2 linked regions of the Daphnia pulex genome follow. The protein of the gene in region 1 binds, or shares a complex with, the protein of each later gene. Links are inferred from orthologs where the notes say so. Each region holds a gene or a part of one and is shown on either strand. Other genes may lie near its edges.

The links. The genes of interacting proteins can lie anywhere in the genome.
Region 2: the proteins of integrator complex subunit 1-like (region 1) and integrator complex subunit 2-like are in contact, whole or in part, in a cryo-EM structure (PDB 8RC4), measured with the Homo sapiens proteins. The link is inferred for Daphnia pulex from reciprocal best matches to the Homo sapiens genes INTS1 and INTS2. Residues at the interface, in NP_001073922.2 of Homo sapiens: Gly561, Ile562, Ala563, Trp564, Asp565, Lys566, Gly567, Ser982, His1055, Met1056, Thr1058, Pro1060, Glu1095, Arg1096, Thr1098, Ile1099, His1102, Leu1107, Arg1225, Ser1250, Phe1251, Gly1252, Ile1253, Tyr1285, His1288, Glu1291, Val1292, Gln1293, Glu1295, Arg1296; in NP_065799.2 of Homo sapiens: Pro40, Leu54, Lys69, Leu72, Arg73, Leu75, Ser76, Gly77, Val78, Glu79, Val81, Asn82, Val85, Gly125, Thr127, Leu128, Glu131, His132, Glu166, Val172, Tyr173, Glu176, Arg322, Gln325, Gln326, Arg329, Gly400, Lys402, Thr769, Met772.

What each region holds. Positions count from the first base shown.
Region 1 is NC_060019.1:12,569,931-12,577,950, forward strand, and holds the start of integrator complex subunit 1-like, read right to left. Parts: upstream 4,619-8,020; 5' UTR 4,549-4,618; coding exon 4,371-4,548; intron 4,133-4,370; coding exon 3,936-4,132; intron 3,863-3,935; coding exon 3,224-3,862; intron 3,164-3,223; coding exon 3,081-3,163; intron 3,024-3,080; coding exon 2,789-3,023; intron 2,716-2,788; coding exon 2,474-2,715; intron 2,413-2,473; coding exon 2,286-2,412; intron 2,218-2,285; coding exon 1,978-2,217; intron 1,918-1,977; coding exon 1,810-1,917; intron 1,745-1,809; coding exon 1,531-1,744; intron 1,472-1,530; coding exon 1,167-1,471; intron 1,107-1,166; coding exon 961-1,106; intron 886-960; coding exon 558-885; intron 477-557; coding exon 204-476; intron 134-203; coding exon 2-133; intron 1-1. Other genes in the region: histone H2A deubiquitinase MYSM1-like, read left to right, coding at 4,776-4,828, 4,884-4,983, 5,043-5,249, 5,315-5,661, 5,730-6,502, 6,571-6,896, 6,962-7,160, 7,237-7,352 and 3 more. UniProt on the Homo sapiens protein: Component of the integrator complex, a multiprotein complex that terminates RNA polymerase II (Pol II) transcription in the promoter-proximal region of genes.
Region 2 is NC_060027.1:804,970-813,265, forward strand, and holds the start of integrator complex subunit 2-like, read right to left. Parts: upstream 4,060-8,296; 5' UTR 3,945-4,059; coding exon 3,640-3,944; intron 3,579-3,639; coding exon 3,440-3,578; intron 3,379-3,439; coding exon 3,162-3,378; intron 3,106-3,161; coding exon 2,975-3,105; intron 2,912-2,974; coding exon 2,720-2,911; intron 2,651-2,719; coding exon 2,501-2,650; intron 2,419-2,500; coding exon 2,242-2,418; intron 2,187-2,241; coding exon 1,938-2,186; intron 1,876-1,937; coding exon 1,311-1,875; intron 1,235-1,310; coding exon 1,079-1,234; intron 997-1,078; coding exon 844-996; intron 781-843; coding exon 600-780; intron 532-599; coding exon 282-531; intron 214-281; coding exon 103-213; intron 43-102; coding exon 1-42. Other genes in the region: microtubule-associated protein 4-like, read right to left, coding at 5,451-5,653, 5,794-5,985, 6,060-6,511, 6,577-6,902, 6,970-7,056, 7,126-7,533, 7,598-7,737. UniProt on the Homo sapiens protein: Component of the integrator complex, a multiprotein complex that terminates RNA polymerase II (Pol II) transcription in the promoter-proximal region of genes.

The DNA of each region.
Region 1 (8,020 bases):
CTTTGAGAAGGTAATGCCAAAAGAGTTGCAAGAAACATTCCAGCGTTTTTGCTGCTTGCAGCGTTTTGTTTGATGGTGAAGGTAAGAGAGCAGCAATTAAACTGCTACGCTCTACAATTACCTGGGCAAGATCCTGTAATTATAAAACCACAGTAATTACATATCATTTCGCTGATAAAAAAAGTTACAATATAATTATTTACCAAGCTAAGATCAGCTTGGTCTTGAATTGGCTCTTCCAAAGCGCAGGTGGATAAGAACTTCAAGTACGCCGCTACGGCTTGTGGTTGCGTTTCAATTAGAAAGGCGGCCCGTAGAGCGGCAATCACGGCAGGGCGTACGGCTTCGAAATGTGGGATGGTAGGTAACTGATGAACAAGCCAAGAGAACTGGGAATCGTCTCCTGTTCCTTCGGAGCATGCACCATCACTCATGGTAATATCATCGTCTTTTACTGCCAAGACCACACTCAATGCCTATTATGCAAACGTAATGTATAATCATTGAACCGTATAATTATTTAAGCAAACTCGTTGATTATGAAAATAAACTCTTACCGTGAGGGCTTGGTGACGGGCGAGAGCTTTCTGAGCACTCAATCGTCTCATCAAATAGTCTAGGACTTCACGGCATGCTTCGGGTAGTTGATTGGGATCAGTCAACAAAAGTCTTAGATGCTGGACCAACTGTTGGTGTTTGTGACGACGTTCCTTGCGTTTGCCGAGCTGTTGCTTACTATCGTCCATTAGATCATTAACAGGCAGATCATCAGCTGCTTCGTGCAGCAAAAACTCACAAAGACATTGAACAGGCAGAACGTTCCAAGCACCTTCATTGGACTCGACCAAATCAGCCAACCATGGCTTCGATTGCGCAGCTCCTTGCCTACATAAAAAATAATTTGCATTGAAGAAAATTAGATTAGAATTTCGCTATTTGAAGTCATACTATTTCACATACCTATGCAGAATTTCCAATAAAAAGTCCGGTTGGCGACTTCGACAAAGTAGGTGACCCAGTCGAAGTGTTGCGTTCAAAGTTCGAAGCTGCTCAATAACAGCTGGAGGAGGTCGTCGAGTAGATCCTCGTGGATCAAGCGATGTCAACTAAAGTAAAATATTACAATGATTTGCAAGAAAATCAAAAGTTAAGAGCGCTTTTAATACTTGACTAAGCAGCAAAGAATTGTTCTCGGTAATAACAGTTTTTGTAGAGGCGGCTGCTAGATGTGTTTCGAATTCCAAGATGGTTTGCTTTTCAATTGCAGCCACCTGCAACTCTGTCTGGTCTGTGGTACCAGAAGAAGTAGCGAAATCATTTGTGATACACATCTCCATCAATGCTCGTAGTGTAGGGAATGAATTCCATGCTTCAGACCCAAGACTGCCAGGATTATGAGCAATCAGCATCAATAGCATCAACCAAGCCTTCCAGTAAAGTGTGCTAATTGCCAGATTTGGAGGAGTATATCCTTAAGTAACAAAAAAATTAGCTTGTGACGAATTAAGATAAGATTACACGCTTGAATACCTTGTGGCAAGACGATATTTTCAGGATAATGATAAGCTGTGAGGCGGAAAACCATGTCAAAAATTTCTTGGTTATCAGCCTCTAGCATAAGGAATCCTAGATTATGAACTGCTGCACATCGTCTTAATAATTGATCAGCCAGATCTAATGCGTCAGGAGCCGTAATTGGATGATCTTTTGACAAACCAATGAGCAGGATTTGGATCAATGAATCCTGAAAAAATAAAATGTGGTTAACAAATCATCAGTCGCAAAAGTTGGTTTTCAATTGGAAAATACCTCCATAACGGGAATTTCAGAAGCCAATCTTATCATAATGGGTCGATCCGACTCGAGTGGCCAACCGTCTTTATTGTAATAATGCTCTCCACTTTCCATAAACAAAACCTAAAATAAAGTTGTAGGTTAAGATTTAATGAACTATTAATTGAACGTTACAACACTTACTTTACGGAGACAGTGCATATAATCGACCCGATTGGGCTCAAACACGGACGGGATGGACGTTCTTAACCAGCTGATCGATTCTCTTTGGACGGCCGATGCTTGGACGTGAAACTGTCGGAAAAGTTCCATCTCTCTCAAATCTCCACGGGCGACCAAAGATGCTGATTCACGCACACCTGGACTTATGGCAAGGAAAATGCATAAAGTCGTCAAGTCTGCCAATGAATTCAAAAGCCGATCCTGGTATCAAAAGTCATTATATTATTTCGTATTGCTACTAACATGGTTTTTTTTAAATACTACCGAACCTTGAATTCGAATTCTCTGATTGCAACTTTGCGTCTCTCTTGCATACAACCGTGTAAAAGAGCTGCACAAAATGTCGGTAAAGGTAAGTCGTGGCGGAGAGCGCGAACCACTTCACGTAATAGTGCTCTAAAAACATATAACATTAATTATACCCAGTCCACGTCTGTGAATTGCAAATGCAAAATACCTGAGTGCCCGAAGGTAATCGTCACGATTGAGTAGAAGTTCCATAAAAACGTCCGCTAAAATTGTGGCAGCACGATCAGGCCACGGTTGGACCAAAACAGCCAGTACTGCCATGTTATTCGGTCCTCGAGAAGGGGAGAGCTCATTGAATATTAACAACCGCACAATGAGTGGAAGCTGGTCCACCTGCTGCTCGACCAATTCTTTAAAACAAGTTAGATATGTCTGGAGCAGCGGTTTACTCTGAAAATCAAAAGAAGAAAGTATTACTATTTTTGTTCTGAAATTAAAACAAAAACATTGACGTTATTACTACCTTTAATCTCAAACGTAGAAGAGCATTTAGAACATCTGTGTCTGTAGGAGCTTCGGTACTGCAATTGACGCAGATCGAGAGGAGGAGGTCGGTGGCTGGTCTCACAAGTTTTTGATTGGAAAGCCACATTTCCAATCGCTGGGCAGCTTGAGTTCTTACAGCGGGCAAACCAGCTGTTGATGTCAAAAACTTTAAGAAGTTCCTTGTAGTGAGGTCAGATGCCGGTTGCTGCCGTCTGAGAAACCATTGATTATATTACCCTAACCTTAATGCAACTCAAATATTTTAATACCTGCTTAAATGTTGATTTACTATTTCCATGACAAGTGCTTCTGCCATGTCTTTGAGATGTTGAAATCGAGGAATAACTCGAACCTAAGAAAAAGGTAACAATGAAAATACAACTATGTGCATAATTTAAATCCCACTTGTTACCTGTTGCTGATCGAGATGAGTTGAACCTCGAAGCAGCCCACCCTGACTGTTATCTGAATCCACGCTGGCATCATCTTCAAGACCAGTGGTGCCAAGAGAAGTTATACTAGGAGAACTAGCAGCACCAGAAGATCCAAGTCCAGTGCCAGTAGCACTTTCTTGTTGAAGGATGTTCCTTGAAGGGACTTTGGTGTTGAATGCCGTTAGGATATTCTCGACAAACCCTTGACATTCTTCGCGATCTACCCAAACTCGTTCTCCAACGGAATCTTCGACAAAAACTTTCAAGAAAGATTCTGGCCATTCCGTTGAATCTTCTAGACCGGCTAACAACAAATTGCAAGCCAGTGAAGCTGCAGAAGCAGTTGTCCTTCCTTTAAAAGGACCAATACTGGCGGTAACGTCTCGTTTGAGTAATACCAATAAAGCTTCAACAATCAATTCGGTGTTGAAATATTGCGATCTCCATTTAGCTAAGTAGACAAGGGCTAGTGCAAGAATGGGTTCCACTTTATTCCGTTGACTCAGACTAAAGGCTTTCAGTTGCTTAACTGATCCACATAGGATTGCTTCAATTCTTTCTTCATCATCATTACTTTCAGCCTCTCCAATAGCATTCAACAACTCTGATGCTTCAATCTTGAATAAATTTTTATAAAGAAACATTATTTAAAGATAAATTGATAAAATCCAGAAGATTGAGTAACTCTACCTCTATAGCAGCTTCTTCCCATGGCTCTAGTCTGTTACCAGTCGAACCTGGACTGGGAGGATCAGCAGCCTTCAAAGCAGGTCTTCCCAATGCAGTAAAGGATGCAGTATTTGGGAGCCCAGGCTTTGCTTTCTTAGCTGGATTTTGAGATGAACCTGGCAGCTGGCTTGGTGCTTCCCGCTTTTTATCTGAAGGACCTACACAGTCATGAAACATATCATTCTTTAAGGCTAATGTACAGACTGAAAGAATAAATAATAATAGTAGCTGAACCGAGTTAAAAGAGATTGTTAAACAGGAATGTGGATAAGTTTAAAATTTTATAATCCATGTTCAAACTTAATTTATAAAAGGATATGATAAGCAAGTTATTGGTCAGGGTCAGGACCAGGGAAAGAAAGAATGGAAATAGAAATATTTTTGTTCTCATTTTACCCAAAGAAGGAAGTGGAGCAGGAGTGGGTTTTGATGGACCACCTGAAGAAGATCCTGATTTCTTTGCATCAACTGGTTCTGCTCGACTTTGCTTTGGTCCAAGAGCAATAAAATCACCAGAGAATCCAAGGGGTTTTGACTTGGAGTTTTTAGGCGGCAAATTCTTGCCCCGATCCATTATAACTACCGTCCAGCATTAACACCTCTTCGAAACTGATTTTGTTTTTGGTTGAGCCGAGTCTGCGAGTGTCTTCTGCAAGAAAGCGTGGTTGCATTTCTGTTTGTAAAGCGAATCGCATACGACATTTTCCTCCCCCCCCCCTCAACACGTCGTCTGCAGCAAATTGGCATATAATTAGTGATAGAGGCATCAAGCTTGTTGTGAAAACACATTCGTTAAGAAAAATGGAAGACGACGATGAAGTTGATGTTCTAGGGGATTTCTGTCTAAATCTTGAGTATGTACAAGCTTTTGTTTGCATGTTATTTGTACTAACTGACATTTGATCACAGGACGGATTTGAACCAATACGATGCCGGGGAGTTTCCTACACAGAATTCGGAATTATTGGGCGATTATATGCAACATCCTTGGCTTCTTGAAAGTTCACAAGTAAATTTTTATTCAAAGTGGTTTATATTTGGGTACAGCAAGATCTAACTTTCTCACAGGTTTGGAATATGCCAATGATGGATCATGCCAATGAAGATAAGAACAAAACACTTAATTGGGAGAATATGCTCCATGAAGAGAAAAAACACTTTTCAAACAGTTTACCCATGGCAAACCCTCCATCAACCACAACATCTGCTGTAGTTGCTTCAAAAGTGAGTCCTATGTGGACTAAAGATGATGTTGCATCTCTTCGTAAAGGAATTGTAAGTGTCGGAGTGGTTACTGATTATGGCAGGACTGTGTAACTTACTTGATACTTTTATTAAAGGGTCTACACAATCAAAATTGGAGCAAGGTTGCTAGAGCAGTTGGAACCAAGACTACTCTTCAAGTGAAAAGTTACATTAAATCACATCCAGAACTTATTACAAGTTCCTCAGTTCACATTTCCAATACCCCATCACCTCCTCAGTTCATCAATGAAGTGGAAGTTACAAACGAAGAACCAACCTTTCACTTTTCTATGGGTGACATTGTTTATGAAGCAGAAGTCCCTGCTGTATCCACAGAAGAAGTAATTGCTAGTGTGGCACCTACCAAGTGGGACTTGACTCCGACAAAAAATAGCAAAAAGACGAACCGTTCAAAACCAAAATCTCCTACAAAAGAAATAAGGTATGACAAATATTTAAACAATAACTGCCATTGATTCAATATAGATATTTTTAAAATTCTTTCTTTAGGCGGGTAAAAAATCCACTCTTAGTTAAGAAAGCGCCTGGAAGACCTAGGAAAATTTCAAAAGACTTATCCGTCCCCCAATTAACAAATTGTAATATAATAATTGATGATGCCACACTTACAAAGAAACCGGTTCCCATTCTTCAAGGAGAAATTATTCGATTACAAAGAACAAGTGAACTAGTAGATTCTAGCGATTCCGAAGTTGATATTGATTGCAGTGACGATGAAGAGGAACGTACAGCCAACAAACCTCCAACCATTTTAAAAGAAACCCTAAAATTACAGTCATCTTCTGATGATTCTTCTGTTCCAATTAAAAACGAAATTCAAGAAGCTGAAATCATAGAAACTCTGGCACCACCACTACCACAGCCGTCTGAGCCATCAACAAAATACGCACAAGAAGATAAAAGTGAATGTGAATCTTCTGAGACTGATTCCAAGAACCCAGATGTTGGATTAATGGACGCTGAACCCCCGCAGCCCGTCTTCACGTTTCCAGCTCCCCTAGAAGAGCGAACCGTTGCATTTACTATTATCACAGATGAGGAAAAGACGATTCATTGGGATTTCTTTGAGGGTCGTCCCAGTAAAACACCGGAAAGGTACATGAAGATTCGTAACAGCATTGTTCAAGAGTGGCGCAGAGTAAAACCACGTTACCTCACGAAAACATCCGTTCGTCCTTCCCTCAAAAACTGCGGAGATGTTAATTGTATCAGCCGAGTGCACGCTTACTTGGAATTGACAGGGGCCATAAACTTTGGATGTGGTATGCTTTTCTATCTTTGATATTTCTACACAGTTCATTTAACATTTTTATTCGTTCAAATCCTACAGATCAGGTACAATACAACCGTCCGTTGCCACCAGTGCCCTGCCATCGAGAGAGAATGGCGAACAGCAGTACTCATTTTGTGAACAACCTTCCTCTCATTTCCGGACTACCAGCAAGGGTCAGGAAGAAGAGACCCCATCATGAAAATGGAGACGAGAATGGCGGGTACACAATCAGCCACGACGGCTCTCAAGGGAGCTCATTCATTTCGAATTCAGGATCTACTAGTCCACAAAAACAAAAACCGAAAAAAAGAACAAAACCACAACTTGAGGAGAAATCTCCTTTTCAGTTAGTTCCATGTCTAAATTTCGGTGGCGAGAAAGAGGTATCTCTTTGTTATTTGAATGAAATTATTATGGTTTAATTGGAAAATGTTTCTCTTTGTTAAAGGCACCTTTCAGCGTACAACTTTCGGTGGAAGCGCTTGTAGTTATTGACCTCCATTCTCATACTTGCACAACAGAAATTATTGGCTTACTTGGAGGCCACATCTATCCGGGATCGGATAAGTCTCCGGCTACGTTATCCATCGAAGCCGCCCAACCGTGTCGAAGTCAGGCAACTAACCATCAATGTGAAATGTGTCCTAGTAAGATTGTTTTGTTTTTTCTGCTGATCAAATCACACTTCATAAAAACTGAACTGTGTAATTTCTGCTATTACAGTTTCACAAACAGAAGGCAGTGAGGAGTTACGATCTCGCGGTCTTGAAATTGTAGGCTGGTATCACTCTCATCCGACATTCCCTGCCCTCCCTTCTTTACGCGATTTAAATACTCAGGTGAGCATAGAGTGTATGTCGTCATGTCTTTGATTACACATTCTATATTTGTAATGTTTGCTTTTAGAACGAATTCCAGCAATGGTTTTCCCGGCAAGATGCGCCTTTCGTCGGCCTAATTGTTAACCCCTTTTCTTCTTCTGGGATCAAAACATCCATGTCTCTCAAATCGACAATTCGGTAAGTAGTTTCTAGTTGCGTTTAAAGTAGACTCAAAGCTAACAATCAATTGCAACACATTCGAGTATAGATGCATCACCGTTCATGACGATTTACCGTATAAACATGAGCTACCGGTATTCGATTGCGGGGCAAATGAATTGAACAAAGTTCGAATAACACTTGATGTTTTGGAGACCAACCTAGATCTGTGTCCAACTTTGGTCCCCCTCAACAGCAAGTATCCTTACCTTCCAACGCGTTCCGAAGACGGGATTTTGAATTACGCTAAAAAAGTGAGTTGCTAAACCGTAAATTTTTTAGTTTGTTATCAGTTGTAATACTTACTAATGGATATTTTTCTGCAGGCTCTGTCTAGTATAAGAGCACACTTGGAGAACGTAGTTACAGGGTCACTTATGAATGACATCGAGGAACTAGCTGAAGGATTCCTGAATCGATTAATAGCACGTCATGCCAGTCGTGTAATCGTCTCCCCTGTTTTTACG
Region 2 (8,296 bases), on another chromosome or scaffold:
GATACCCTGTGTCGTCAACGGCAAGAGAGCCGAAGGATAACCCTATCAAATGAATATCAATCATTATAAATTGTTCAAGCATGTTTCAACTATCCAAAGTACCTGGAAATGGACTAATTTGACCAAATTTGGATCGGCAATAAAAAGTTGATGGAGGAAAGAACAAACAATGCTCTGAATCTCACGCAGTTCTGAAAGCCGTTGATCGTTTGCCTGGGATAAAAAGGTACCTTGTGAGAAATAAAGTTCAACTTGATGCTTTTGAAAAGAATATCAATTACCTCATCCTCGGGAGTCTGTAGGCAAAGCTCGAGTACTATCTGAACGACAGAGCTTTCTTGTGCAGCGATCAAGGCCATTTTAAGCTCTTCACGTTCGCTGTCCGACGTGACTCCTGCCAAATTGCCAGGCCCTTGTGCAGCAACAGGACCGAAAAGCGGTTTGTCGAGTAAATGACGTGACAAATGGGTTCGAGATGCACCTAGCCATGCTTTGAGCATGTATAGAACAATTTGCATAGCCGGTGGGCACCTGATAAAAAAAAACAAAAACAATAATGACCAATCGTCAGTTACTAATTTCATTTGTTGTAAAATTACCTAAAAACTCGTGGATCACACCGCAAAACGTGAAGTGGGTCAAACGTCAAATGATCCTGCGTTAGAGTAGGAGGTGGACAATCTTCCAAAGAAAGCTGCAGCCGGACAGCATTGGCCGTCATTACCCAGAGTTGACGAGGCAGGATCGAGTTCAGTTTCAACCAAACTTGGCGATACATCTCTGAAGAAAATTGGTTTTTTACAGGATATAAATTCTTCAATGATTCTAGAACATGAAACATACCTTGAACCTGTCTGGGAACAGCTTCATTGAGGGTCGATCGAAAGTGCGAGATGAAGGAGTGCGCCACTTGCCACAATGATTTTGGTGGCATAGCCAAGAGCTTCTGCATCAACAGCATGGCCGGTGCTGGACAACCGGCTACGTCGGTGAAAGCTTTAAATGAACAAAAAAAAAAAAAAAAAAACTTTTACTTCTAATTCCAAAGTACATACAAAATTTCTCACAAAATGATTACCTTGGCTCACAGTCTGCGACGAACAAGTTGGAACAGATCCATGTGGGCTGCATAAAGAAGACAATTGGCTATCGTTGACTTCATACATCCAATCTTCCACCAAACACAGCTGTGGAAAATGAGTGGCTAAAAGCCGTAATAATGGTGAAAAGAGTCCTATCGATATTTGATAAATAACAAAGGATTAACATGCGGATTGGAGAAAATGGCCAATCTTGCTTTTAAATGTTACCCGCATAAAGGTGTTGTTCTTTTTCCGCTTGACTGATCAAATATCGAATAGGCAAATCGGCGAAGAACGACTGAGAATAGGATTTGATATTGATACCAGCCACCAAGTAGTTTTTGACTTGAGTCAGACGAGTATCCTCATACAGTAGAGCGTAATATAAAAGTAAAAGCTGGGCCGTGACGGAATGCTCCTGCCCGTCTGTGCTAGCTCGGCGAACGTTCCTGGAAAAACTGTTGGCGAACACAACTCGAATTTCCTCTTCGCTGATTGGGTCATGGCCAATGTCAATGGAACCAGCTACGCCCGATTGATTCTGTTGGTTTTTCGATGGAGATAACGTCAGGATCGAGCTAACATAAACTTCGACCAAACTAGGAAGAAGTGGATGCAATGGAGGACGGCTCTCGCAAAGCTGGCGGTAAACCCAGGTCTTGATCGGCACGCGATGCTTACTAAAAGCTCGGCTTTTCAACAACTGATAGATGCAGTGAACTGGAAGGAATCCTGCAACGTCTGCATTCAAACCGGGAGTGACGGGCACTCGGACAGCGTGAGATGTCACCACCTAACATTCGAATTTAAAAGGATAAGATTTTGACCAAATAAACTTGTTAACAAAGCTCAAACCTGCTCTGGGAATATGTCTTGAGTAAATGCCACCTTCATACGAGCAGTAGAAGCGGGCCGGAGTAAAAGCCTCATGCCAAGCGTTGAGCAGACCAGGTCGCAAACTGCGCTCAACTGTCCACTGTGAAAGTGGATAGCCATTAGTAATAACATCTCTCCAAAACTGCTCCTCGCTGTTTCCATGCACTTGCCAGAGGAAGTCGCTGGCGATTTTTCAAAGTAGCTTTCTTCCCTCACCAACCATTTCACCTAAAATCACAAAATATAACAACTGATATTAATTACGAATAACTTGCGATTATACCCATCGAAAACCGCTTTGTTCTTGGTCGGGCAAGGCGATGAGAGATGGACAAGCCATCAGCATGCAGAGTCCCAGGGCAACGAAACGAAGGCCAGCTTCGGTTGGCGGTGGACGACAGGTAATTAATTGCAATAAAAGCCCACCTTCTTCGTCGTACAACTTCATTCCTGCTATACCCTACAAATATTGAAATAAAGGGTTAGTTTTTCAATTCCAACACCCCTATCTAACATACTATTATTGGAATGAATAGAATTACTTTTAAAGCACAATACAGTCGTAAAAGGGCCGACGCATCAACAGCACAACGGTCAGGTAACGGCTCATCAGCAGCCATTTGAACAAACGACTGCAAACTTCTCAGTAGCTCTTGGCGTAAAGTATGTAACGCAGTGGCACGATCATGTCGCTGTAAAATAAGGAAATAGAGTTAAATACGTTGACGGCTAACATAAAGTACATTTAAAGAAAGCTAAACCTTTTGTCCATTCCTAATGAAAAGAGAAAACCAGGTGCGGATATTTGCATCTCCACCCAAAAGTAGACCAGAGATAAACGGTACGACATCTCCCAACTGGGTTTCAATTTTATCTGTTTTGATCATTTTATGGCAGGATGCATAGTCCAAACTAAGTAAAACAGCCAGAGCCGGCATTCTGCACATCTCCACCTGATAGGGAAAAAAACCTTAAACTAAAGAGAACAAAGCTTTGTCAGAGATAAAAAAACTTACACATTTAAGTTGGATCATCAAAATCTGATTTGGGCACATCCTGCAGAGGGATCTAAGTGTTTCTAATCTGGCCCGTCCAAGGAAGGATTCTTCTTCATATCTTTCACCATTGCTAATCAAACTCTGGCAAACTTGAAACAAACTACTTCTAAAATATAGTTCAAACCACACTTTGGAAAAATATTACCTTCATTGAAAGTATCAGGCATATTAGCCACTATTCGACATATGAAAGATGGACCGTGAAGTGTTCTCAAGAGAGCTTCTGCAACTTCTGTTATAGGTAGCAGAATTGTCAGCTCTGCTAAAGCAACACACAGCACATCAGCTACTTCATCAAAATAGATTTCCTGGTCCAACAGTTCACTGCTTTTGTATGTGGTTTCTGGTCTGATTTCTTTGCTCTAGAAATTAAAATAAGAAACAATAATATTGTGGAAAATGAATGCTTTATGAGGAATCTACTTGTGCCATGAGTGTGAGGAGCTCACTGAGAAACAGCCTTAATTTCCTCGTTGGATCACTCCTTTCAAATTCCAGTGCATAACTGTTTGATAGTGACTGAATCAAGACAGAGTCTTCAGTTTGATTACCAAGCTTTTGACTGCAATACAAATTTTGATTAAAAATAAAAGAAGTAGTCATAACAATAGTAAAGAAAATACCGTAGCATTTGTTCTTTCTTGACGTCAACCTCAAGAGCATGGAAATCAATTGAAAGTAACCCAACTATGGAATTGACAATTTCACGACCGGATAATATTTGGAAGACCATTCTTCGAGATTTGGTGCATTCACTAGATTGGTCCAGTGGGCCTATCAAACTCATTCTAGCCAAACATGGCATAACAGCTCGAATTTCTTCTTCGTTACATTCCGCTAAGTTATCTACATCCAAATTCTGTAGAGCTTGAAACACACGAGGCGAAACATTTCGTTTCGAAACGGAACGAATCGGTGGCATCGGCATTTTATTGGCAAAATATTGTGTTTTTAAGACCACAATCAATCAACAAATCGCCATGGAGTGGTTTACATAGCAAGCTTGATTTTCATGTGAACCATTGTGTTGTCAAGGCAACGAGCAGACGAAACTGATTCTGATCCTCTAGCGGCAAAACGTAGGAACTACAGTTTACACGGCGCCTTATTAGGGCGAATCCGGATTGCTCGGATAGCTCACGACTCACGTCATCCGACTGAGCAGATGACAAGATGATCAAAGCTACAAGGGGCACTAATGTTGCACTCAACGGACATGATAATAGCAAGTTATAAACTTATAATGATTTAAAAAGACGTTTCTCCCCATTGCTTTTCATTTATTTGCGCTACAATGTTGTAACTCGCACTTCTCACGTAATGGATTACAAAATGTGGAGGGTATTGCATCCAAAAGTTGAAGACGGAAAGGAAACACAATCTTTGAACGTATAAAAACGAAACTCATCCAATTAAAAAAAAAATCAGCGCAATCAATATTTTAAATTAATTACCATGTGGTTGTAAGAAGTAGAGAAGAGAGTAGGAAGAAGCAGCAGTGGACACAATCACCTCGGCTGGACATTGGCGTGACTATCAACAACAGAAAATAGGGGGGGGGGGGAGAGAAAAATAAAAGCAAAGGCAAACCGTTGCTGTGCGCGGCAAATTTGAAATTGAAAATCATGAAACCCCACAAACACAAAAGAGAAAACAAAAAGAAATTATGGAATCGAGCAAGAGGGGGAAAAAAAACGAAGGGACGACATTTTCTTTCATGACTTTTGACACGAATACAGTTAATAATAAAATAGGTGATTATTAGCCGAAAGAGCGTTGGTGGGTGGGAGTGCAGGGCGTGCGAAAGTAATATTTAGCCATTAGGGGGAAGTAAAAGAGGTTTTCACAATCCTTTTACATATTGTTGATGTTGTGTGTTGCCAAGAAAGAAATGTGGGGGGAGGGGGGATAGCAGTACATTAACTCACGCACACGCTTTCACACACGCTCACTCACACGCAGGGGGGAAAAATGATTGATGATTCTTGAATCTCTTCCTTGATATCTTTACAGGGGCCCGCAATCGCAACAAAGTTTTCACGTAGCCATTCTCCATTTCTTTATTTCCCTAGTACTTAAATTGTTCGTTTCTTCTCTCTTTCGGCTCGGATTCAACTATTTTGAAATCTTTAATTATTATTTTTTTTTTACCTTTATTGTCTTTTAGAAAATTGCAAACGATGGAGGAAAAAAAAACATTTAAAAGAAAAAACGAGAACGTTTAAAAAGCTGGCAGACGATGAATCATGAGCGAATGAAAGAGAGACGGGCGGTATACATAGCAGGCGGCGGTAGGGAGTTATTATAATATGGTTGGGCGTTTTCCACTCGTTATTTCCTTTTTCCCTCTCTATTTTTTTAAATCTCCTTGGTTATCTCGAACCTTTCACATTTAAAACACGCTTAATTCTGATGCTTTTTAACCTGCTCTACATTATTCCGCGTCGGCCGGTGCAGGAGCAAGAGCGACTTCGGGTGTTGCTGTGGTTACTTCGGGAGCAGCCGAAGCGCTGGATGCTGATTTGGCTGCTCCCGGCGATTTGGTTGCCGCACCAGTTTTGGTTGCACCAAGCTTGGAAGTTGATGTCGTCGTCTTTGCGATCGGCTTACCAGGCGTGGCCGTTCTGCTTGCAACACCTGGGAAGAAATAAAAAAATAAGAAAATGTAATTTAGGAGAGAGATAAAAGGTAGATGTTAAAAGTCAATCAAAACGCCCTTCTTTTCCAACACGCTCTGAACAACAACAACAACAACCGCAAAAACAATGAAACCTTACTCTTCAATGGCGCCGGGCGAGTAGGGGTGGCGGTGGTTGTTGCGGGTTTAGTGGCTGCGAGTTTGGTGCTGGCTGCGGTGGGTCTGGGAGTAGCGGATTTCGTAGCTGTGCCATTAACGATGGGCTTGGCCGTAGTGCGAGTCGTTGACGTAGCAGCGGGTTTCGGCTTGATGTCGCCGTTGGTAGTAGCTGCTGCACATTTCAAAAAAGAATTGACATGTGAAAATCCAGCGGAAGAATGTATACAAGCAAAAGGTAATAAGTACCAGCAGATTTGGTGGCTGCGGTGGCGGCTGGGCGACTAGTGGCACTGGAAGCTTTAGCAGGAGCGGAAACGATACGACGCGGTGGTGTCGCAGATGTGGTCGAAGCGGTGGTGCGAGAAGACGAGGTGCTCGTGGCCGGTTTGGCCGGAGATGCCGTCTTGGCTACTCCGTTCACAGCTGGCGTTACTCTCTTGGCTGGAGTGGCAGTAACTGTCCGGCTGGCGACAGTTGTCGTGGTGGTGGTGGTGGTAGTCTTTTTCACCGTCGATGTAGTAGACACTGCGGGTTTGGCAGCAGGTCTAGTGGTCGCAGGAGCTGCTCTAGGGGCAGCAGGCTTAGGAGCAGGAGAAGCAGGGGCAGCTGGAGTAGCTTTTCTCAGTGGAGATAATTTGGTCGGACGCGCTGGTTTCGTCGAATCAGCTGATGGTTTAGCGTCAGTGGTAGCAGCACGGCTATAGAAATCAATAAAAATTCAATTAATCCAAAGATCTAGTACAGTGATCATTTATTAGCATACCGTGTAGCTGGTTCCAGTTTCTTAACTGAATCCTTAGCAGCAGGTTTAGCGGCTAGTGAACTGGCAGCAGGTTTAGCGGCCAGTGGACTAGCAGCCGGTTTTGACGGAGTAGACGTAGTCTTCTTTGCAGCTGCGACGGGTTTCTTAGCGGCAGGAGACTTGGCAGCAGCCTTTGATGCCACTGCTGCTGTAGCGGCGGCTGCAATGCCAATGGCTGTTCCAGTCACAATCAAAGCGGGTGCTTCAGAACCGATAGTAGCCGAATCGGAAACTGGACTCTCCAAAAGTCGTGGTTCGACCGTTTCCTGTGTGCTACTAACTTCCACCTAACGACGTCAAGAAACAGAATTGTATTTAACCTGTCAAGTTCGATTTCAGACCAATCGAATTCACCTCTTTGACGTCCGGTACGACTTCATCTGGAACTAACTCTGGTTCTTGGACAGTCGAGGAAATGATGGTAGATTGGGTTTCTTCAACCTAAGAATTGGGAGCCAGTAACAAGTTAGATGGGAGATCAAATAAAAACCAGTTGTGTGACATTCAAACCTGTTGGATGTGTGCTTCGACATCTTCTGCTTGAGAAACAGCTTCTTCCATCTGAGGTTGGTGAACAACATCAGGCTCAACAACTTCATCTTTATGAACAATTTCTTCTTCTTGGTTGACAGCTTCTTCTGGGTGGACAATTTCCTCCTGATGAATAGTTTCTTCTGGGTGGACAATTTCCTCCTGATGAACAGTTTCTTCTGGGTGGACAATTTCTTCCTGATGAAGGGCTTCTTCTTGGTGGACACCTTCATCTTTGTGAACAACTTCTTTTACCGGTTCTGGCTCAGGAATGGTGATTTCTGGTTCAAGTTCATCAACAGTCAGTTTTTCCAGCTGATTGCCAAGATCATTGGCCTGGCAATTGGTCTGGATGCAGGTTTCATCAGCCTTGCCTTCAGGTTCCAACTGGACATCAGAGTGAAATAAGAAGATTAAGCAGGGCTAATGGAAAAAAGAAAATGTTTCTTACATCAACGCCAGAGCTTGTGTCTGCAACCTCAGTGTTGGTGACGCTTTCCTCCTTGTTTGTCTCTGACTGCCTGTAATCATTGAAGGTCCAGTCATCTTCAGAATCTTCAACTTCATCCATGGTACCGTCTCCTTTCGACTCTACAAGATTAGATAAAAATAGGGCATGTTATCAGTACGGGAGTAGAAACAAAACTATGCGTAGCAAACGCCCTTAGATTCCGGCAACACCTTTTTTTGAATCTAATTCTAGGTGCATACATACAAAAAGAAACCAAACAACAGTCTAAGTAGCTATATAAATGGGAATAATATAAACTGTTTCTTTTGAATTCCAGCCAACTACCTAATACGACTTTTTGTGCAGCTGACATGACTTAACACGACAATTGAGCAACGCTTAGCAGAGGCAGAATTGACACTTTGCCGGCTTCGTGAGAAATCGGAATCTGGAATAGTCTGGCGAGAAGAACAGCTGAATGCAAATTAATGGAAGTAGCTATAGAAATGCCACCTAGCGTGAATGACGCCAAACGCTTATCAAATGAGAAGGTGACTTTGAAATACAAAAAAAAAAAAGCCTAATAAAACAAAAAAAAAATATACATAATAATAACCGTGAGACATTCTGCCGATAAGAGAAAAAGAGGAGGGTTCACAGCTTTCAGCACATAAATGATGGTAGGAACTTGACACGCCG